Linked DNA regions of Mytilus edulis. The protein of the gene in region 2 interacts with the protein of the main gene of each other region in a pairwise test. Links are inferred from orthologs where the notes say so. Each region holds a gene or a part of one and is shown on either strand. Other genes may lie near its edges.

What was found.
Region 1: the proteins of poly [ADP-ribose] polymerase tankyrase-1-like (region 2) and proteasome inhibitor PI31 subunit-like interact in binary tests that used the Drosophila melanogaster proteins (3 or more experiments, as listed by UniProt). The link is inferred for Mytilus edulis from reciprocal best matches to the Drosophila melanogaster genes Tnks and PI31.

What each region holds. Positions count from the first base shown.
Region 1 is NC_092355.1:34,355,482-34,368,048, forward strand, and holds the start of proteasome inhibitor PI31 subunit-like, read right to left. Parts: upstream 5,405-12,567; 5' UTR 5,374-5,404; coding exon 5,242-5,373; intron 4,064-5,241; coding exon 3,914-4,063; intron 2,863-3,913; coding exon 2,783-2,862; intron 1-2,782. Other genes in the region: tRNA (guanine(10)-N(2))-methyltransferase homolog, read left to right, coding at 5,436-5,534, 8,082-8,159, 9,014-9,087, 9,856-9,937, 11,657-11,749.
Region 2 is NC_092347.1:81,453,573-81,465,846, reverse strand, and holds the start of poly [ADP-ribose] polymerase tankyrase-1-like, read right to left. Parts: upstream 6,516-12,274; 5' UTR 6,469-6,515; coding exon 6,276-6,468; intron 3,740-6,275; coding exon 3,515-3,739; intron 1-3,514. Other genes in the region: trans-1,2-dihydrobenzene-1,2-diol dehydrogenase-like, read left to right, coding at 7,076-7,183, 8,845-8,956, 9,810-9,973, 10,326-10,575, 11,050-11,177, 11,878-12,028. UniProt on the Drosophila melanogaster protein: Stimulates proteasome activity, probably by ADP-ribosylation of PI31. Modulates 26S proteasome assembly.

The DNA.
Region 1 (12,567 bases), on a different chromosome or scaffold from region 2:
AATAAAATCCCGGAGACAGAGTTAAGATCGACACCTCCTCTATTGCAGCTTTTTGTAACATTGTGTCCACTTCTACTGATAGAAGTTGACACTTTACTGGGTCTTGAGTATGAGACAAACTTATTGGAACTGCAGACAGAGGAGCTGGGTTCTTGAACTGAAGTGTTAATCCCCCTCGAATTATTGACAGCACATAACAGTCTGAGGTAATTTTCTTCCACTGATTTAGGAAAAAACTTAACCTCCCCCCTACTGGTATTGATTTTTGAGGAACTTGTTGTAAATTTTCCCCTGGGGAAGCTGTCAATAACGTATGAGGGGGCAAGAACCTAGGTACTAGACCCAGGTTTCTTGGAACCCTTAAAACCACCAGAAGGCTTACCTGAGCTTTTTCCTGAGTTATTGGGTTTGTTCTGCGGTTTGCCGTAGTTATTCTTCCTTTTCTTAGCAGAAGAAGGAGGACCACCTGAAGCAGAAGTACTAGTAGAACTAGATGTAGCATTAACCGACCTCTTGCCATTAGTAACTTGTACACTAACTTTGACTGGAGGAGGGTTTTTGCTGAGTTCCTCTTGAACCCGCTGTAAGGGTAAACCAAACATCTTGTCAGAGAGTGGAGATTTCAGTAAAGAATCTTTCAAAGGCTCAGCGATAGAAATGTTTTCAAGAAACTCTGCTCTTTTAGATAGGGTGCAATTAGTAATAGAACCCATTAAAAGCAACTGAGATGAACCTAAAGCTTTATCCAGTTGAAGTAAGAAGGATCGTACTTCTGCTGGAACAACCGAATCTTCGCTGTTAAGCAAATGTCCGGTTGCAGCTAGAAAATGTTCGGCTGTGCCAAGAACTTGAGAAGCACTACGAAGGAGATTCTCAGTCTTTGACCAAACAGGTTGAGTGAGACGAAGACCATCTACTGGCTTTTTTCCCAATAAAGATGACATAGATTTGTCACAATTGGGAACAAGTCTACCCAGTGAAGAATCAAAGATATCAAAATCCTTGTACTTAACCTGATCAGAAAAGGATGACATTCCAAATCCTGAGATATTGTTATTAGCAACCTTTTCACTAGCAGAATTAGCGATACCTTCATTAATAAATTGTAAAGCAAAAGCCATATGGCCAGATTCAGGAAAAGAATTGTGAGAAGTCACAGTATCCTGAGAAATACCACAGGAAGCTTCAAAAGTTGAAGAAGGTTTCTTCGGCTTGGAAGGAGAGGCAAAAGGGATATGTGCTTCATCCCTCATCAAGGTATACACCTTATCCCTAAGATCCTTCAAGGAAGGAGGATCCTCAGTCTCCTTGGTGGGAGGTTGTTGAGCTGACTTAGAAGAAGGCTCAAGGGCCGTCTTCGATACCTTGGGAGAAGAAGAACTTTCAACATCCTCATCAGTGAGGAAAGCCCTTTCATGAAAGCCCTTTCATGACTCCCAGGGGAAACAGAAAGCTCGTCATCCTCCCTCTCATCACATTCTACAGACTTAGCTGGAGAAGGTTGATGAGAAGAAACTCTATTCTCCAGTAGAGTCATACGACTGGATAGAGTGCTAAATTCAGCTTTGAAAGACTCACCAAAGTCCAAAAGTAACTTCTGTAAACCATCCAAAGGTGATGCATGATCAGAAACCTGAGTACCATGAGAAGAACTAGAAGCTTGAGAGTCAGGTACGGTGGTAGAAGGAGCTACTGCAGAAGTCAAAGATACTGCTACGGGTAGAGCAGGAGCTAAAGGTGGTGCAGTAGCTACCCCAGAAGGGGGACCATAGAAATTGTCTCTATAAGGCCAAAAACCAGGTTGGTTTGGCATAAACCCACCATAAGGGTAAGACTGTGGCCAAGGTGGCTGAGACCATGAGGGTAAAGGTTGTGTGCCTGTGTTGGGAAGCATATACCCACAATAGGATAATGGGGGTCTAGAACCTGGCAAGTTCAAGCCCATAGCTGTACCTGGGACAGAACTAATAGTACCCGCTGAATTAACAGGCCTAGATAAAGTATGAGTCACCGAAGTTGACGTAGGTACCCCCCCAAAATGCATGGCCGAACCTTGTGAAAGGGTCGGATAGGTAGCATTACCAGACACCGTTGTCGAAACTCCGGTCAATGTACTGGTAGTTTGGGGGGGACTTAAAGGTAGTGACCCATCTAAGAGATAGTCCGAACCAGGAATACTTACATACGGACTATTCAAATTAAAGTCCATAATAAATTTTACTTTAGTAAAAAAAACACAAATAATTTGTTTAGAAATTTAAACAAAACAAGGGAATATATTTCCAATAAAATACACAATATATATGAAAAGCAATTAAGCTATTCAAAACAAACTAAACACTTCTCTGTTGAATCTGTAAAACTTGATGTGCACGTGTGACCGATGTCGCAGATGGAAATTGAATGGAAGAATATGGGCAAACAGGGGTATATGTCCGGACCAGTGAGAGTACGTTTATTTTTAGTAGGGATTTTCCATCTGACCTATGACGCAATTGGGGTTACACTCAGAATTTATGATGGTAACGTATTTATAGCTATAAAATCCATAGCATTCATCTGAGAAATATTGTCTTTATACAGACAAAATTTCGCTATGAAAATTTTTCCTTCTCTGGACACTTTTCCATAGACGAGGACAATATTTCATGATATATAGTTATGAAATATAGTCTTGTGGTACAATATTTCATAGGACAACATTTTGCTTTACATATGTGCCTATAGCAGGCCAAAAGATTACAGGTCACCAGTTTTACAGCTTTACTGTTCTGATACTTACTCATCAAAAGAGGACAGGTCACCAGTTGTATAGTCTGTTGTGCTGATGTTTATACTTGTCACCTTCTCAGATTTAATATCCTGAAAACTCAAGGAACAATTTAAGTTATAAATAGATGAACTTAGAAAAATAAACTGAACTTTTTGATTCTAGGAGTCTTAAGGTGGTACCTAACACTACAGGGAGATAACTCTGTAAATTCCGTTGTGTTGTAAAGGGAATATTAAGCTTCTCAATGATCAAAATTGGTGTTTGTCAAACTTCTATATATATATATAACCAGTGTATTTTTTCTGACAAAATGGTTTGTTCAAAATGTTTGAAATTTTTATATTTTTGTTAAAGGGTCAAAGTAAATACTTTAACAACATTTTATGAAAATTAAACGAGCCAAATTAATTTTAGTGAAAGTGTTGGATACCACCTTAATAGCAAAATAGTGTATACAAAAATGCTACTTTCATGTCTTGTTTCCCAATTTGTCACTAATTTACAGCTGACTTTGTAGTATGGGTAGCTCATCATTGATGGCAAAACTGTGATCTTCAAGTAGTATAAATGCTAAAATCCATGTTACTTTGACACTGACAGACATGATGGCAAGTCAAGTCAAATGGCAATCATTCCACACTTTCTTATTGTATATTATATTTTATTTCAACTTAATAAATATGACAATTGACAACATATATATCAGGTGTGTGTTTAGAATTTTGGAACAATCAATATAAAAATGCAATCCAACCCTTTGCATTTATATAATAGTTAAATTTCAGCATGACCTGTCCTGGCTGTCAAACAGAACAAAACGTTTGCATGTAATCCAACATGTTTACAGATGAAAACTCCATGAACAAATGACAGCACTAAACCATTTTTAGACAGCAACTTTATAATTTTATTGCAATAATTTATGAATAACAGTCAATTAAATTACTGTATTTGAAAGCGATGCAGTGCCACTGCAATATGTAACTTGACCATTGAGGTATGTGGTGCATTATTATGTAGTATTTATTTCAGGAATTAAATATTGTGACTAAATTCGTAAGTAAAATTTAAACATGCCAATTAGGGACCGCATTACATTAATTTTTACTTGTACTAGTAAATAAAATTTAATATACTAACCATGAAATGGACCAGTAAATCTTCGTCAACTCTCATAATCTTTAGTATGTGGACTTTGTCTGATGAATCCTTGTATCTCAGGGTATACATGTCTTGATTAGCATTCCAACCATTTGGTAACATTTCACTCTTCTTCTGATTCTTTGCTTTCTGACAATCAATGACAATAGTAAATAATAAACATGATAAATAGTTCTATATCAGAGATAAATTAAATTTAACTATACATGTTATAAATTTGATTACTTTTGTTAAGACAATCCTTTCCTGCAGTCATAGTAATTTTATCAGTCCTTTTGAAGTAAATTATATGACTATTCTACCCTAGGCGCTTATCCTCAATTATATAAAGACACAAGTGTGAGGGTACATGGATACACAAGATTATGATATGTCTTATACTAGATATTCTACACACCAGAATGAATATGGAATTACATAAATACTTAAATTTAATATTTCAATTTTAGCATATGCAATGATATTTGGGGTAAACCTCAATGCTATTGTAACACCAAACAAAATGTAAACATGGTAAAGCAATCACATCCAGGCAGTGGCAAATATTTCATGAATGTTATGGATGAGAAGCCTTCAATGATGGACAATTGCAAGTTTCTGTATCATACATCTATGTTCAATGTCTAGATTTAAGGAATAATCTAAGATAAGTTACATTAGAGTGTGAAAGTGTTGATGATTATATAACAAGTATTATAGATTCAATCATGATCATGATTTTCATGATTTGTTGACTGTTTTAATATCATGAATATGGAACATCTGTCATGTCTGTGTTACAGATGACCAAATTTATGTTCAAATTGTAGTAGCATAATGGCAATGTCCTCTCATCTTGATTGTGATAAGAATTACTAGGAGGAACCAAACAATAATTGTACTAATTTCCATCAGCAACCTAGCAACACTACATTGGGGACATATTGAGCAGGATTTTCTTACCTGTCAGAGCACCATAGATTACACAGTTGCATTTCCTGTTGTTCAGTCTTTAGTTTTCTATGTCATTAAAAATTGAGTATGGAATATATGTCATGTAGGTAGGATATAATACTATAAATTTGATATTTGTATTTCTGTTTCTGTTATTTTTGGATTTTTTTTTTTGCCATGCATAGTCTTAGTTAATGTTGTTGTCAGTTTTTCTTGGGCAGTATTTCAAATCATTCATTTAATCCTTCTTTGCGTATACAGAAGCTTGTCATTTATAGTCCAGTATTTTATTTTTTCTGAGACAAAATCAAAGAGAAAGTAGAAATAATAGAAAGTGAAAATAGAATTAAATTTGACAACACCGAAAACAACACCTCATCATCTCCTATTCCACAGCATTTAAATCCACTTGAGATTAAATTCCAGTGTATCACTGTCACAAGAGCATCTTGAGACGATCGTAATTGATTAATGACGCTGCAAAATAAGACTTCTTGTCCAGCCATTTTTACTTTTTTTTACAGGCAGTTGTCTCCCTTATCTCACTTCCTTTCAGATGTAAACAAAGATGTCAGCTCCCATAAATAAAACATGTTTATCAAATTCTACCAAAATCAATAAGTATCTGTTGCAATTTGCAAATGAACATGTTGAGTTCAGACATGCTGTAAGTTTTTCAATCATTCCACATCCTTGTGGACCTTTTTTCAGGTCCGTTCGCGCCCAATATACTTTCGCACCCTACACGTTCGCACCTCGCACGTTCGCACCCAAGGTCCGTTCGCACTCTACACGTTCGCGCCCAATTTTAATTCAAATACCAGTTGAATAATTGGAAAATCATGATTGTTGTTTTTAATTGCTTTCGTGTAATTACTGAATGTATTTATAGCTTGGTATGAGTAAAAGATTGAATATTTTAGATCATTTTAAATGAAAAACACAAAAGATAATTGTTTTTAACAGCTTGGTCCCTTTGATCTGAAACAATGAAACAATAAAATATAGCAATACACTATTATAACCAAAACATGATAAAATTTATTCAACACACAAAAAAAAAAAAGACGTAGTCAGAATCTCACTTCATTGTGAAACAAGTCAATGAAACAAAGTTAAAGCAATTAATACACTAACCAAAAAATGATTAAGAGTTATTGAACACAAAATAAAACATTGACAGAATCCCACTTTATTTAGAAAGGAATAATTTTTTTTTAACAATACACTATCCAAAACATAATTAAGATTTATTCAACACCAAAAAAAAATGCTGTCTCACTTTATTTTGAGACAACGAAAACTATTATACTTATAAGAATACTACTTGCCAAAACATGATTACAAAGTTATTAAACTCAAAACCAATTAAAATTGGGCGCGAACGGACTTTGGGTGCGAACATGTAGGGGGCGAACATGAGTGGGTGCGAACATGAATGGGCGCGAACGGACCCGGATTCGTCAAGCCGGGGGTGTGGGACGTCAGAGCTTGTCCCATATCAAAAAGTGGATATTTGTCCGTCCAAAAGATGCGCTGCTTAGTCGCTTCTGGTGCCAACTAACGGCCTTGGAATTGTATAAATTGGGTATCAATTTGTTCATTTTTTATTTATCTCGATCTTCATTTATGTAAGCTTCACCTACCTGCCACCCTTTATTTTTCCATATTTAAACAGTTTTCACAGGACACTTCTAGCTAGGGTCTCTGTGACTCTGTACATCTATATGGAATAAAGTGCAAGACAACTGGAACGTTTACAATTTTACATTTTTAACACTGGTTATCTATGAAGTCAACTAAAAAAAACAAAAACAAAAACAATTGTAATTCCAACTCAGGCCAAATAAAAAAGTGTGTGTGGTTCCAGTTACATCTGAAAAAAAGTAAGGGTAGGTAGGTAGGGATTTTTTTTATTTTATGGTTTTTTTTTTACATTGAGTCTATGGGATAACATTCTGACTTTAACAGTGCTTAATGAAAAATGCCAATAAAATCTTTAGGGTAGGCTATTTTTAAGCCGAAAAAGTAGGGACGGTAGGGTTACTGGAACCACACATATATTTTTATTTGGCCTCAGACAAAGTCTAAACATGCTAAAGGAAAGGTTTTTGATGTCTACAGAGAAAAAGACAAATCAGAGTGAGACTACACATATATGTTCATGATGTTGGAAAGGAAATTTGACTGTCAATGAGTCAACTCAGAGTGATTGCATCACACATTTTTCTTTAAGTCTTTAAATTTTATGCTCATATAAAAATTTTAACATTGTTACAAACCTGCATACATGTACCTAAGGTATCCCCCATTGGGATTCTTCAATCATTCAATCCTATTGAAGATTTACATGTACATGATGTATATATGGCATTGGTTCATAATATTTCTTTTTTAATGTACAGTCCCTATGTGAAAGAGGCAGGTAAGAGAAGCACAATTAAAATCTTTCAACACGTTCAAAACTGAGAATACCTGTATTTTTTCAAAGAATTTTATCTGAAATGTGACAAATAACATTCAGTGAAAACTGTTATAGAGAATACAAATAAGAAGATGAGGTATGAGTGCCATTGAAATAGCTCTCCATTTAAGTCTCAATTTGTAAAAAGTAAAAATTATAAGGTCATAAATAAGGCCTTCAACATGGAGCCTTGTCTCAGTCACTGAACAGCAAGCTATGAAAGGCCCCAAATGAGTAAGTGTAAATAATTCAGAAAAACAGGAAACACCCTTTCTAATCTATATGAAAGACGAGAAACACTTATAAATCATATCAACAAACAACAACCACTGAACAACAGACTCCTTACTGATGACAGGTTCAAACAAGTATGAACAACATGATATTGTACATGTATATGTGTCTATTATAAACAGTCAATATTTATTCACATACCTGCCAACTTTTCAAAATGCCCATGGGGGTTTTGCATACAAGATGGCTGTCATAGTTCTAAAAAAACCTTCAAGGGGCCTTCAAATACATTTTAATGTTGTTTTTTGGCTTCTTCATACTTTTATAAGCCTAATTAATGTCATTGTAAAATTAATTGTTTTGTTTAAAATTGTGAACAAAATTGCTCTTTCAAAATTTCATTTTGGGAGCCTCCATGGGGGAAATCACCTGCAAATAGTGACAGTTGGCAGGTACATGTATGTTTCATAACCATGATAACAAATAAATGTGCTTCTATTATCATTTTTTTTTCAGGAGATAAAAGCCATAAGTGAATTGTTTGGTTTTACTGCAAAACCTCTGGCAGAAGATAAATATAGTTCTAGTCCTGGTGTAAGTCATATTTAAAAAGACTGTAAATCAAGTTATATTTGTGGATACTTTATTTTGTACTAAGCCCTTTCTATTCACCTTAAGCAGTGTTAAGCTTTCTGCAATTTTGTTTCAGGAAATTAAAATTTTCATTTTTTTTTTTATGAATATAAATAATGACAAATGATCATGATGATGGAAGACTCAAATTTAATAATTTCACTTTATAAATCTTGAAAATAAATTTGATCATAAAAGGTATTATTTTAAGTGTCTAACATCAACCTTATTAAAGGGGGTCTCATTGGGGGGGTTCCGATCCCGGATTCAGCTTACTTTTTGTCAGGTTCCCGTATCCCGCTTACACTATGTACGTAAGTAATTCTCATTTTTTTGTCATTTCCCGGGTCCCGCTAGACCTCATTTCAAGTTTTCACGACACAATAATTTGACTTTCACGTGTCACACTTACAAAAAATCGCCAATCCCGCGTCACGCTTATACCCCAATGAGACCCACATTAAAGAGAAAGATTATGTTACTTTTTTGGTTGAAACATATCAAACTTCTTAAAGATACTAGATTATGATTTATAAATACAATAGAATCTGTTGTAAACAAAAGACTAATCAGTGTCGTGCACAATTAAAAAATGTTAAAAAGCCAAATAAAGTACAAAAGTTGAACAGCATTGAGACTGAAAGTCTGAAAGATTTTGCCAATAATGTATTATATATGCTGATCTAGTTGTGGTTTCAAAACAGTGATTACCATAAAAGAGAATTAGCAATTATTTTAATACTAATTACTCCTAATGATTGAGTTCAATTATTAAGCAGTGAACTCTGTATAGTTTGATAATTATTATTTTGTAGTCGCCATATCTGATGGTAGAACTGAATTCAGAGAAAGAAGCCAGAAATTTGATGAGTAGAACCGTCCTAATCAAGTATGTCAACAAATATTTGTTACAAAAGTTAACCTCATATTTTAGTTAGGACTACTCACGGCTATTTACCACACATGTCTTGTTTGGTATTTTTGTATCATTAATGTTTTTTTAACATCTTCAAAGAAATCAACCCAAACATTATTTCACACATTATTGGTAATTATTTTTCTGTTAGGCAATTTAAATTGTAGGTCAGTCCAAGACTACACATAGTTAAATCAGACAGCTGAAATATGTTAGACTCAGAAAAAATTAAGTGATGATGATTTTTTTTTTTGGTCAAATCAGTTTATAGGAATTAATAGCTTTTGTTAATAGTTTACTAAGTTAATTTGTCCTTGCATTAATATTAACATTAATTTCAAGAAAATTACCCCCCCCCCCCTAAATAACTTATAAACATATAACAGGCTATTATTTAAACTTTGAATTATTATTAATCATGGAATTTTTATAATTTCTTGTGCTTGAAATTTCTAGTAAATTCCATGCTTATTCTGTACTTCAATGGTCTGTGCTGCGCACAACACTTTCTTTTACAAAGAAGATAGTACATTTTCAATAGAATGTACTGTGCCGCGCACAACACTATAATACAAAATACATTATATGGAAAGTGTTATGAACCGCTCAAAACATTATTATACCAAATAAACATGGAATTTATTAAAAATTTCCAGCACAGAAAATTTAACAAATTCCATAATTAAAAATAATTCCAACTTTAAATAATAGCCTGTTATATTGAGAGTGTATATATTGTAGGTCTCTGTATGAAGTATGGGGTCATGGAGCAACATATAAAGAAGTTTCTGAACAGGTAGAAACAATACCAGCTGAAATAAAGGTAACAAATATATGAAAAGGGGTTCTAAATTTTTTAATGTAACATTATAGATAATGTAATCTTCAGAGTTTGAAAGGGAGTAAAATGATATTGAAAAAATGATTTAACTTTTTCCTAAATAAAATTGTGTAAAGAAGTAACATATAAAAAAGAAGATGTGGTATGTTTGCCAATGAGACAACTGTCCACGAGAGACCAAAATGACACAGACATTAACAACTATAGGTCACCGTACGGCCTTCAACAATGAACAAAGCCCATACCACATAGTCAGCTATAAAAGGCCCCAATATGACAATGTAAAACAATTCAAACGCGAAAACTAACAGCCTTGTTTATATAAAAAAATGAACGAAAAACAAATAGTAACACATAAAGAAACGACAACCACTGAATTACCATCAAAATACAATGCAACTCGTCGAGAAAAATTGACTCGTTTAATAGATGTCGAATAAACGTCGTATTATATTAAAAACAATCGCAATTTAAATAGAGAAGTGTGTACGGAAAGGAGTCATGCCCACTGACCCAAAGGAAATTAAATATTTAAAGAGTTAGAAATGGGGTTCCTCCTAGAATTAACGGGGATTAGATACGAAGTGAAATACCTTCTCTCACTCTCAGTGACTGCTGTGTAAACTTGGAATTGATAGTACAAAAATAAAACACAATAAGTACATTGCTCATACACTTGTATCCGGGATCGGCTATTTTTAAAATTGAGTAACTATTTAGATTACAAAAATTACGTTTTACATGTTTGAATTAGTTTTGAAAATAATACTATCCAACTATACCAGGGCTGCCAGAAATGCGTGAGATGCACGCATGTTTACGCTTTTTTGCTGCATTATCCTTTGATCTATTTTTTTTTCTCCTTGATCTTTTCAATTTTGGCCAAATCTCGCGCATTTGCTTCATGAAAAGTTGGCAGAACTGCTATACATGCGTCAATGAAAACAATGGCAATCATATCCCTCAGAGCATTCTGCTCTTTGATTTAAACCTATGACTATATTAATGTATCCAAGCATGACAAGTATTAAAAACACTAGACATGCATATTTAATTTCTGGCGTCATACAAAATTTTGACGCAATACATATGTTCAACATGGCTTAAGAAAATGTCAGTTCAGTTTAAAGTTCAAACCAAAGGTTTTTTTTGTAATAAATACTACTTTGATTACTCAATGCATTTTAGTTTCTTGTGTACAATTTGGAGTTTAGTATGGTGTTCATTATCACTGAACTAGTATATATTTATTTAGGGGCCAACTGAAGGACGCCTCCGGGTGGGAGAATTACTCGTTGCATTGAACACCTGTTGGTGACCTTCTGCTGTTGTCTGCTCTATGGTTGGGTTGTTGTCTCTTTGACACATTCCCCATTTCCATTCTCAATTTTATATACGTTTTGCTCCTAATCTTTTTGAACAGAAAAGACAGTGTATACATATCCTTCCTCTTTATTAAACTAGCATACTATTTACTGTGGATTTATAATCATTCGTTGGATACCATTTTTTATTGGTTTCGTGGGTATTGGTGAACCATGAATTAAAATGTTCAACAAGTTACTAATTTTTTCAAGGCTGTATGTTGAGATTGGTAAAACCACAAAACAAAATATCTATGAAAGTGCAATTTTCCTCAATTCACAAAAAGTTGATACCCAGGCATAGAAATGAATCCACAGTATGCATTTTATTTTATAGAAATCAGGTTTCAGTGCTGAGAAGACATTCAGAATAAACGTGGATACATATAACAAGAAAATAACTCAGGAAGATAAAATAAAGATTATTGAGGTATACATGGTATATGCTTTGAATATAAAAATGAGTTAATGTTTTTGCTGTAAATATAGAACTGTGTTAATGTTTTTGCTGTGAATATAGAAATGAGTTATTGTTTTTGCTGTAAATAAAGAAATGTGTTAATGTGTGAGCTGTAAATATAGAAACGTGGACTAGTGCTCTAGAGCAAGGCCCGTCTGTTTGTCTGCCTGTCTACACTTCTTTGTCCTACAATAAGTCAAGATTACCTCACCCAATTCCTAAAATACCTAAAATTTTATGTCCAGTGTACAAGGGTTCACCTAGGTCATTTTTTTTTGCCAGCTCTTTTGCCACTTTTCCGTTAACTTACACAATTATATTTTTCATTTTAAATTTTCCTAAAATATCAGTTGGCAACACAGTGTTACTGTGGTAATTTTACATATCTATTTTTTAATCTTCAATATACATTGTAATAAAAATAAGACCTCATGCACAGCACATTCCTGATGTCAATATTTAAGAAAATAGACGCCCTAGAAAATTGATTGTTTTATGAGTGTCAGACTGTGTACTTCATCCAAAATATGCAAGCTGGCCTTTGCTGACATGTGAATTTTCTGATGTTTCTTTTATGTACTTATAGATTATCGTTGATCATCTCAACAAGATTGATTTTCTCGCTTGAGCCGGGACAGCGAAGGCGAGAAAGGCAATCGAGTTGAGATGACCAATGATAATCTGTTTATCGCTATTTTACCTATGACCACGTTGTCAATTTCATGTCAATTTTGTAAGAAATGCCACGTGCCTGCTTAGTTTCTAGCCATAACTTTCCATCTCATGCG
Region 2 (12,274 bases):
ATAAATGTTTAACTACTGATTTATCAATAGATGTCTTGCTGTCATCCCTTTCATTAACTAGCTGTTAGCATATGGGTTTATTTTGGCAATACTTACTATTATTTTACAGTCTTAAGATGACAATTGACATTACTTTTTTTTTAAATATTGTATCATATCACTTTATAATGCTCACTTAAACTGTAATTAGTTTTACCATTCTCATACAAATAATTGCTTGACAGTTTATTTAATGTATTTATTAGGTTGATATATAACATTTGATTAAAACTTCTATTTTACATTTTTTATCATATGTATTAAATATTAAATTGCTTGTCTTCATACACATTTTCAATATTTTATATAAACAAAAATCAAATATTAATAAAATTTAATCTAAATTGTTTTTGGTGCTGAATTAACAAACCTTTTCTATAAAACAACCAATTCCATGATTATCATAAAACATTAAGGTACAAATTTAATAAAAATTTGAAAAAAAATCAGTTCAAAACTACACTGTTTTTCATCATTTTATACATAATAATAGATATTTTAATAAACTTTTTTGGCAATATTTTTGTATTGATGACAATTCTATTATTTAATTCAGAAACTTGGCCAGAGGGAAATGTTGTATGACACAACTGTTGCCACTCACTATGTGTTAATCCAATAAAACAACTTCACTATCCAGACATTACAAATCAATCAATCGTATGGACTGCTGGCATCCAAACATGTATATACTTGTATTTTAATTTTAATTTCGGATTGTTCCTCACTATTTTTCATGTTAATTCAAATTTAATAAGCAGATTTAAAATTTACTTTAAACCTTTCAGCTTACTGAACATTAAATTAACTTTGAGGCAAGGAGAGTAATGAGGTAGATTTAAAGAGTACTGTGTTTGAAGAGTTGTCACTGTCAAATACAACTGATGTTGACTAAGATAACGCAAGTTTTTTTGCCAATGAGGCCACAATTAAAAATATTTCAGTTTGCCCAAACCCGACCCATGATGACTGGGTGTGGGTAGGTAGGCAAATTCTTTTTTTTTTTTTTTTTTTTTATCCGAATTTGCATGAAAATATTAAAAGATCTTAAAACAGTATATCTTTTTTTTCTCTGTCAAACCTTTGAAGAGACAACCAAAAGCCACGAATTTAAAATGAGACTTGTAAATTTGAACTTTTTGAATAAAAGGGCATCTAATTTACGTGATGAAGGAAGATTATACTTAAAGACAACAATTTATCAAGAAATAATTCCTTTTTATTCAGTAAAATCAAAATCTTCTTGCAAGATTGTAAATTCACAACTTCCGGATCAATTTCCCGTCAGAATAACATTGAAAATATTCGATTGCACATGGTTTTGAACAAATCTACCTGAATATTCTTATCAGATATTCGATAACACAATGAAATTAACATTGAGCATATAGGTAAGGGTTTGGTAGTACAAACAACTACAGCGTAAAGTACTGTGCCAATTCACTTGTTTTACTTCTTTACGTTCGTTAAATCAGAAGATAAAAACAGAGAACATCGAATATCGATTAACTGCGTCTCTTATACGCTTTCTTTTAATCTTATTCGCAATTACTTTCAAACGCAAAGACGACAAACATTAAGTTTTGTACGATGACGGAGCGGACCCAAAATAAATCCAAACAAGAATGTGTCCAAAGTACACGGATGCCCCACTCGCACTATCATTTGCCATGTTCAATGGACCGTGAAATTGGATAAAAAATATGATTAAGCATTAAAATTAGAAAGATAATATCATAGGGAACATGTGTACTAAGTTTCAAGTTGATTAGACTTCAACTTCATCAAAAACTACCTTGACCAAAAACTTTAACCTGAAACATGCACTTTCATTTTCTATGTTCAGTGGCCCGTGAAATTGGGGTCAAAAGTTTAATTTGGCTTTAAAATTAGAAAGATCATATCATAAGGAACATGTGTACTACGTTTCAAGTTGATTGGACTTCAACTTCATCAAAAACTACCTTGACCAAAAACTTTAACCTGAAGCGGGACAGACGGACGAACAGACAGACGGACGAACGGACGCACAGACCAGAAAACATAATGCCCCTCTACTATCGTAGGTGGGGCATAAAAAAACATTAAAAAAAGAATTTGAGTCGGCAGGTTTATTTTGGGTCGGTCGCGTTTGGGCAAACATACAATCTTTTTATTTTGGCCTGACTTCAATAGAGGAATTGATAGAAGACATCATCCAATTAAAATTACTGTTATATGCTTAATTGCATTATAATACAAAATATCACGTAAATTACAAAGAAAACAGATATTACTTATAACCATTTGGGTCAACATCTTTAATTGTTTTTACATATAAATATGCAGATATGGCAACGTTTTTTCCTGTAGCTCAGTCCATATTGTAAACTTGGATATGTATGATAGCTCGTTTTGAAGCTGTGACATTTTCACATATGTGGTTAAATTTTCAGGGTACAAAGTGAGACTACTTTTTTGTAGATTAGCATACCCGAACATCCTTTCGTGATGCGGCTCCTCTGGGTAATTTTTTTTTAACACAATTAGTTCTTTGAAAATTTAATACTTTGAACACATTTAATAGGTCCATAGATTTTACACATTTATTCTATGTTCCTCTACTTTCGTAATCACCATAAATGGTTAAGCTCAGTCAATTGTAGAAACATGTCCAATATCACTCATTTCGAGGCACATTATGAATATTGACCCATTTGGCAATGAACTCTGTAAAAGTGAATGCCAAAGCTATCAAAAATAAACTTCACTAATATTTTATGTTATTCCTTGAAAGAGGTTTTGATTGAAGTATCTGATATACTGTATCCATTGCTTCCAAAGCAGAAATAAACACAAAAAGGTTTAACAAGGAATTATTTGAATCTGAGTTATTTTGAAATCTAGACAATTGATAAGAAATTTAAGATAAAACTAACCCTTCTAAATATAGGTCCACCTTTCAAGAAGGAGATACCATTTCAGTCATTAAAACTCAAGTTTCATGACAATCTACATTGTATGAAGGTTAACCAGATGCTCCACAGGGCGCAGCTATATACAACCCCAGAGGTTGAACCCTGAACAGTTGGGGCAAGTATGGACACAACATTTAAGCTGGATTCAGCTCTAAATTTGGATTGTGATTAAATAGTTGACACAGCATAGGTTTCTGACACAGAATGAATGTGGTCTAATGAACTTAAAATATTTTTTTTGAATTTGAGCAATTCACTATGCTGTTGAATATTAATCCTCTCAAAAAAATGTTTGAAGAAATTTTCTTTTTATTTATGAAATCTGAAATGAGAAAAATTTAACCCCCTCCCCCCCGATTTTTTCTTCACATCCCCCTTTCCCTTTTACCAATTTTAAAAGGGTTAGGGTAAAAATATGAAAGTATGAAAAGAGCTTGCTACTAAAATAAAGCCTTTAGGAAAAGTTTTGACCTGCACAAATATATGATGTATAAGAAATATCAGAAATAACAACTTACCTATACAAACATCGATTTTCCCTTTGATAGCAGCTTCATGAAGAGGTGTATAATTCCAATTGTCTCTTGCATTAGCATCTCCGCCACTTCTGAGCAATAGCTGAACAACCTCAGCATGTCCAAAGGAGCAGGCATTATGAAGGGGAATCAATCCACCATCATCCTTAGCATGGACACTAGCACCACATTCAAGAAGATGCTCTACTACATCCTTTCTACCAAATCCTGTAACGTATAATTGTGATATTTAATTCTACTCATACTCAATCTAAAATAATTATTCATAAGACATAACATCGCATGTGACTGCTAAATATAGATTTTTACCACTGCATCAAGTGTGATACAATACAATATTTATCCTCTAGAGATAGTTTAAATTTTCAAATTTAAATTGTGAGGCTCGCCGAGCCTTTTAAATATTTAAATTTAGCTGTGGAGTGCGGATAAATATGATTACACAAGATTTAACAGTGGAATCAGTTTCTCAAACTATTTTTAAACAATATGAAAGCAAATGTATTCCTTCTTTTCAAGTGATCTACAAAAAGAGGTGTGTTTTTCATCAGACATGGTCGCATTTTTTCATGCCGTCATATTAAAAAATTCAGAGGAAAGAAAAAGAATTTGACATCATTATCGAATTTTAACAATGAAAAACTGAGATCAAAGGAACCACACATTGATTTAATAAATATAATCAACATGGAAGGAAAAGGAGAAATCATGTAAGAATTAGAGAAAGTGGTATATATTCATCATGTTCAAAGGATTCCCAAATACAGTTCTGGAATAAAAAATGTTTAAGAAAGATGAAGGGGTCTATGACCATCAAATAAAACAAGTGACCTGGATTACAGTGGAGTCCCTGGTTTCTGTGTGGCCAGTGATATCCCAATTAGCTGATTTCGTTCTATCAACATAGTTTCACAAATAAAATAATTCTTGTTATTGTTTTAGCCTTCCAAAGGGATAAAAAAAAGAATAAAATTGATAAGTGGAAGAGTTAATTCATAATTACTGTAATCCCCTGATTTACCATATTTGGCTAATTTCCATTAAAACAAAAATACATCATCAGATAAAATTTGTTTTATTTTGACTAAAAAATAACTTTAATTATGTTAAAGGTAATTTAAATTCTATTAAACAAAGAATTAATGACCAATGTTTGCAAGTCCAGAATGCAAATATATTTGAATCCAAAAAGTTAGACTTTTTCAAGAGTGTCTACATAATGGGCAGAAGACCACCCTATGTTGATATATTGAAAAACAGAAGTGACAGAGCAGCAATATGTAAGATCCGTATAAGCGCTCATATACTGATGATTGAAAGAGGGAGACATCTAAATATTCTCAGAAATGAGAGATTCTGCTCTGTATGTAATTCTGGTCAAATTGAAAATGAAAAACATTTTCTTTTATATTGTGAAAAATACTCAACTAAAAGTGGCATATTTTACCATAAAGATTCAAATATAATCGTTGATCCTACAAAATTTCAAAAACATGAAAATAATATAATCTTTTTATTAAATAATAATTCATACACAATCCTAAAATTGACTTCCTCTTTCATCTCAGACAGTTTGAACCTGCGTAAAGCAGAACAAACTCTATAAAATTGTCAATATGTCTAATTCATAATCATTGTTTATAATTATAATATTACATATCAATATAGTCATTATTTGCAATACTTATTATGTTTGACCAACTATGTAATTCATATACCATGAGCCTTAACCATTTAATTTATTGTTGATGAGTTTGTGCTAATAAAATATTTGTAAAACATTTGTATTTGTATTTATATCAGATTGAAATTTTTTTTGCCCTGCATCCTTTGCAGTGTGTTAGGTTCAAATTCAGCTATATTTCATAGTATAAAATCTTTCCTTTATTGAAAATAAGCTTTTTTTGGAAGGCATGCACGAAATAACTGGACATTGGAGGAATTCTCAGATAAGGGGTTTCCCTAATTTTGGACACACATAACACTAAATATTGAGGGTGAAACCATACAAACAGAAAATTTTATGAAATAAAAGTATGTTATGAATGTGTTCACACAATATTATCCAATTATTGGTTTTATCAGTTGAATGAAGTGAAGTCATAACTCTTACATGTAAGTGTGCCGAGAAACCAGACTGCACCCTAGTCCAAATAATTATGGCTTGAAAAGCTATATTAATTTTTGCTTTGCCAGCTTTCTGCAGCATAGTACAATGTAGTAAGATTTAGAGAGGGGGGGATAGGAGGGGTCCTGATCCCGAAATCCCGGGTTTAAACACATGAAATCCCGGGCTTAAAAACACGAAATCCAGAGGTCCCGAAATTAGAATAAAGAAATTCCCGGATCCCGAAAGTGTCAATCCCGAAATCCTGAGCTTAAAAACACCCGATCCCGGAGTCCCGATAAAGCTTTAAGGTCCTATCCCCCCTCATTTAGACATTTAAGTAAATAAATAAAATAGTCTTTCAAGACATCATAAGAATTTGGACTAGCCTTTGATATGCAGATACATATGCATGATGTAAATATTTATTATGACTAAATTATATCATAATATGCAATGATATGAGAATAAAATTTAGATTGGTATTTAATATTTTTCAATCAATTCATTAGGACAAAGTCTGTTTAAATTCTTGAGTATCAGATTTATCTTTTCTAAATTACAGAGGCTTGAAAAGGGTAAGGTGGTTGTAGGTGAGGCGATTTTCAAAATTCAAATGTAGAAACGAAAACAAACCTGCAGCGAAATGGAGAGGAGACGACTTCCGCCCTGCTGTATCTTTCGAGTTCACATTGTGACAATTGACTAGCTTTTTTACTTTGTTCAAATCTCCATTTCTGCAAGCTTCGAAAAGTTCTCTTCCAGGATCATTATGGGACGGAGAACCTCCTATTTCACTCTGGAGAAGCGAGCGACGGGTTGTCGCCATCTCCAATTTTCATAATTCTCGCAAGCTATCGCCAGATGCGAGATATATTGAGTAAAGGAGAGATTTAATTTATTTTTAAAATTCCGTATTTTTCACAAATTATAGATTAAAAAATACATCAGTATTAATTATAAATCAAAATTGATTTCAATTAAACATTTGATAGTATTTCAAATTAATTCATTTATCTGAAAATACAGAAGGATAAATATATATATATTCAAAATAAAATCTTTCTTTTATTCATTTTAACTAATTGATAACAGGTGCAGGTGCTCTATCCAGCTACTGTATACATATCTCTATATTTCTTTGTTATAACAGGTATGATGAAAAATAAAAACTGGAATGTGTACTAGACAAAAACACTTAATAAGAAACCAAACTCTTTCTGAATGACATTGTGTATTATAAATCTTGTCACCTCTTGGCCTTGGAATAACTTTTTTTGCTTTAGTTTAGGGTTTATAAGTCAAGTGTCTTCGGGTGCAGGTGTAAAAAACAGTGAACTTCTAGAAATTTTGTATATGTTAGTAGAACCTTGTGTCATAGAATTTGAGTTGTGGTATAGATAAGTAAAGAGACATTTATTTTTTAGAGTGAAAGGATGGCTGAAGAGAAGGTTTTGAATTGGGGTATATGTGGCGCTGGAAAAATCAGCAATGATTTCTGTTCTGCAATGATGACATTGAGCAGATATGAAAGGGAACATAAGGTATTGTATTAATGTTTTATAATATACATAATATTTTTTAATACAAGTTAGTGCATCTTTATCAGATGTTAAGGTTCCACTAAAGTTAAAATATAGAAAATTGCATAAACATCAAAACCTTGCCTCTATTTTTCAATCTAAAATGAAGAAATCCCTAAACTATGGGAACATAGTTCATTTAACCATACTTAACGTATTCACACTGTGTAAATTGTAAACATGGTAAATAAACTTAGAATTTTTGTGTTATGGTCAAACCGGTTTTGGAAGTGAACACTAAATTTTCCAAAAAATTTGGAGGCCTGCTAGATTTTGTGTTATGGTCAAACCGGTTTTGGAAGTGAACACTAAATTTTCCAAAAAATCTGGAGGCCTGCTAGATTTCGTGTTATGGTCAAACCGGTTTTGGAAGTGAACACTAAATTTTCCAAAAAATCTGGAGGCCTGCTTGAAGACTTAATTTGTTTAAAATTGGTATGAACGAATACTTCTACATGTAATGCAGTACATGTACAAGCTAATGTTGATTTTTAAGAAAATGTATTGATTTAGGAGTTTCAGTTAATTTTATGTATCTGAGTGAACGAATATCGAAGGTACAATACAGAAATTGGACAAAAATGTCATTGAAACATATGTATGTGACAAATAAGCAGTAGCTTGTACTGCATTACATGTAAAAGTATTCGTTCATAGCAATTTTAAACGAATTAAGTCGTCTAGCAGGCCTCCAGATTTTTTGGAAAAATTAGTGTTTAACCCCAAAACCGGTTTGACCATAACACAAAAATTTCAAGTTTATTTACACAGTGTGTATATGTGAAGTATGTTCAAATGAGCATATGTTCCCATATAGTTAAGGAATTTATTCATTTTAGGTTGAGAAATACAGGCAAAGTTTATATGTTTTTGTAGTGTCCCAGACGATTGCAATAGTTCAAAATACAGTGTTCTTGATATTGGACATACACATGGGTTTTTGATGAGTTGAAAAGAGTGTTTTAAACAGTAAATTTAAAAGTACTAATTCTACTTTTTTGTTGAATCTTTGTACATATTGTAATTAAATAGTTATCAAAGGTACCAGGATTATAATTTAGTATGCCAGACGCACGTTTCGTCTACATAAGACTAATCAGTGACGCTCATATCAAAATATTTATAAAGCTGTTTTGTAAACAGGAAATTTATAAAAATGACCACATTACATGTATTGATATTCATGTCAACACCGAAATGTTGACTACTGGGCTGGTGATACCCTCATGGACGAAACGTCCACCAGTAGTGGCATCAACCCAGTGGTGTGAATAGTTATCAAAGGTACCAGGATTATAATTTAGAACGCCAGACACACATTTCATCTCCATGTAAATTAACCATCAACAGAATGATCAGGTATGACCAAAAGTTTGAAAAACTGATGAACCTTTTTGAGATCACAAAAAACAACTCATTCCAAGGTTGACTTTGCCTAAATTTTAACTTAACTTTCATCATGTTCAGTACGTATGTTACCAAACAATTACAAGCATAAAATATAATTAAACGCATATGCATGCCAATACTCAAAATACTACATGCTTCTATGCAGATGATAATCTTGGGGAGTGATTATCCAATCTTTTAACAGTTTACAGTTGGTTATTTTTTATTTTTAGATTACTGCTATTGCTGCCAGGTCCCAAGAAAAAGCCCAAAAGTTTGCAGATATATTTGAAGCACCAAAAGCTTATGGTTCTTATAAAGATGTAGCTAATGACCCAGATATTGGTTTGTATTTATTATTTTTGATATTCATTTTTTTAACACTGTTAAGTAGAAAATAAGATGATCATAGGAAATGTATTGATTCAGTGTATAACAATACTTTATTTTAATTTTTTATTTTAAGAGGGTTACACAGTTAGCTATATAACTAATCTTCCCTGAGGCCCTCATCATGAAAAATCAAACAAAATGCAAACATATACATTGCATACATTAGTATAAAAAGTTATGTATGATAATAATGTTCAATACAACTTGATAAAATGTGATGAAAAAATAAACATGATGACATAATCAGTTTTTAATATTATTTATACAGCTAGGCCGATTTCAATAAATGATCTGTTATTTTGTATTTGAAAGAATTAACATTTGTAATATTTCTTAACAGTATTGGCAAATTATTCCACAAGAATGGTCCAGAAAACATAAAAGATTTTTTTGAACAATTCTGTTTTTAGTTTAGGGAGTATGAGGTTTCCTTGAACAACATTTCTCAAGGGGTATGTATTTCTTTCTGAAACATAATGAAACTTGTTAGTAAGATATGATGGGGCATCATTTTTGATGCACTTAAATGTCATCAGAAACTTGTGGTATTTTATTCTCTGATAAACTGTCATCCAGTTTAAGTGTTTGAATAAGGGCACAGAAGGAGCGAAAGGGTGTGTTTCTAGTATTAATATAGCAGCTCTCTTTTGTAATTTTAATATCCTATTTGAACCCTCACTGCTGCAACTACTCCACACTATACAACAATAATCAATTAGTGGCAAGATATAACCATTATAGAATAATTTTCTGCAGTCTAGATTTAGAAATTTTTTAATCTTTCAATAGTAGATTTTATTTCCAGAAATTGTCTACATCGGGGTGATACATACAGAGCATGTCAGATTGAGTATGATGATGTTAGAGGCTGGAAAACATGTGGTATGTGAGAAACCATTGGCACCAACCTGGCAAGAATGTAAAAAGGTCCTAGATTATGCCAAAGAGAAAAAACTACTGTTCCTTGAGGTAAGCTTATTGAGCTAGTTGTAAAATTTATGATTATGTACACAATATGCATTTTAATCTTTAGATAGGTCAGCATAATAAAGGCCAATGCAAAGATTACTTTCTTTTAGATTGTTATAGAAAACATGTATCTTAAGCAATGTAGATTTCCTTTGAAAAAGGTAATTTTGTGAAATTTAAATTTTTGGGAAGAAAAAAATCTATAAAATATGAATTTCTGACCCTTGTCAATTTTGTCCAAAATCTGTGTTATGAAATTCATTTTGGTCAAATATGTCAATTTCAACATACCGGTACTTATGATTGATCCACAATGACATCACAGTTATTTTAGTTTTATGTCTATATTTAGGCAGTTTGGAGTAGATTCTTCCCAGTCTATGATGCAATCAAGGATGAAATAAATTCTGGAAAACTAGGAGACATTTCCATGGTAACCACACAATTCTGTATTCCTATTATGTCAGTAGAACGTTTATGCAAGAAGGATTTAATGGGTGGTGTACTTCTAGATATAGGAATCTACTGTATACAGTTTGCTTGTCATGTATATGGAGAGATGCCAGAAAAGATTATTGCAACTGGTAGCCTAAATGAGGAAGGTAACCACATGAGTCACCAAATACTTCAATAGTCTGCTGTTAAGTGTGGATTATATACTTATGAAAAAAGTTTATTTGCTATAATGTGTATCACAGAGAAGTTTATTCTTATTTGTATACATGACAAAAAGCACAACCGCAATAGTCTTTTAAAGACTACTAAAGAGAGATATAATATCTGCATTAGAAAATTCAATGTTAGAGAAAATGCAAATGACCAAGCTCATTTTTAATGAACTTTTGAATATTCTTTAATTTTGCTTTCTTATTAAGAAAAAACTAAAATAAATTAAAATAATATGAGTTATCTCCCCTTATAAAGTAAATATGATAATTATAAATCTATCAACAAATATTGTGCATATAAAAAAGTGTTCCAAAATTAACTGCATTTCTGACTCTAATCCCATTAGAATTATGTAAAAATATTAAGAAGAATAATCAAGTGAAGCTTCTTGAATATATTATATACAGGTGTGGATGAAGATGGATGTGTAATATTATTATACAGTGGAAATAGAAAAGCTAGTTTGGTATACAGTGGTAAAACTGCCTCTGGGAACAATACAGCTACCATAATGGGATCAAAAGGTCAAATTTTTGTAAGTTTTTATGATAAATGTGTGTTACTGTGTATAGCTCCTGATAATTCGTTTCATAGTTTTAATAAACATTTTATTGTTAAAATCTGTGAAATATTTATGTTCTATGATGTTAGTTGCTCGTATATTTCCCTTAAATTTTATGTGTCGAGGCTATTATCAAAGCAAACTATAAATTTCTAGTTACACAGAAAGAAAAAGATTAATAAACCATGATTTAAAACACTCTTTTAAAAAATTGGTTTGCTTATCTATGGCATGCAAATGTGCGTACATGAAGATAAATTGTTGTAGCTTTCAAAATTTAGACAGCGCAAAACGGTTCTTAAAAGGAAAATATTTCAACATGGTGCAGCAATATTCTTGTATACAGTTTTTCCTTGCACCTTTTGATGAAGCATAAGAAAGAAAATTTATATGAAAATGATAGATGCTGTTTAGACAGCTTTACAATAACAAAAGTTGAAGGAAAATTTTAATTAAGTTGTGCAAAAGGGCTGCCTTTAAATACATAGTAAAGGTCGCTTGAAGGTCATTTTATATGTACAGTAACACTGACCTTGGCACTGAAAGATTATTGATATCCCTAAAAGTAAAGCCAAAGTTAATAAAATTAAAACGTGAAACTGACATGAAACCAGTTGAATTTTTTATTAAAATAATGTGACAGAAAATGAGGAAATGATTTATTATTTTACAGATTGATGATTGTTTCTGGTGTCCCAAGTCTGTAAAGCTGACAGAAACAACATTAGAAAATAAGATACCTGAAGGTCCATCACCGTATAACTTTTATAACAGTGGTGGACTACGATATGAAGCTGACCATGCATTCAAATTAATCAGAAGTGGTAAGGTTAACCAGGGTTTCCCCTGGGTCAATTATTTTTGCCACCTCTTTTGCCAAAACAATATATTGTTTGCCACTTTGATATTTTTTTCGCCAAGTAACATATTTTTCTCCCCCTCCCCCCTAAATAAGATGAGTTTGCCCCATCTTTGTCTATGATTATTCTCTCAAACTTATCTTAGAGTCTACGTAATGAATAAACACTTAACATTTACTATTAAAAAGACGGAACTTTTTTAAAAGGGTG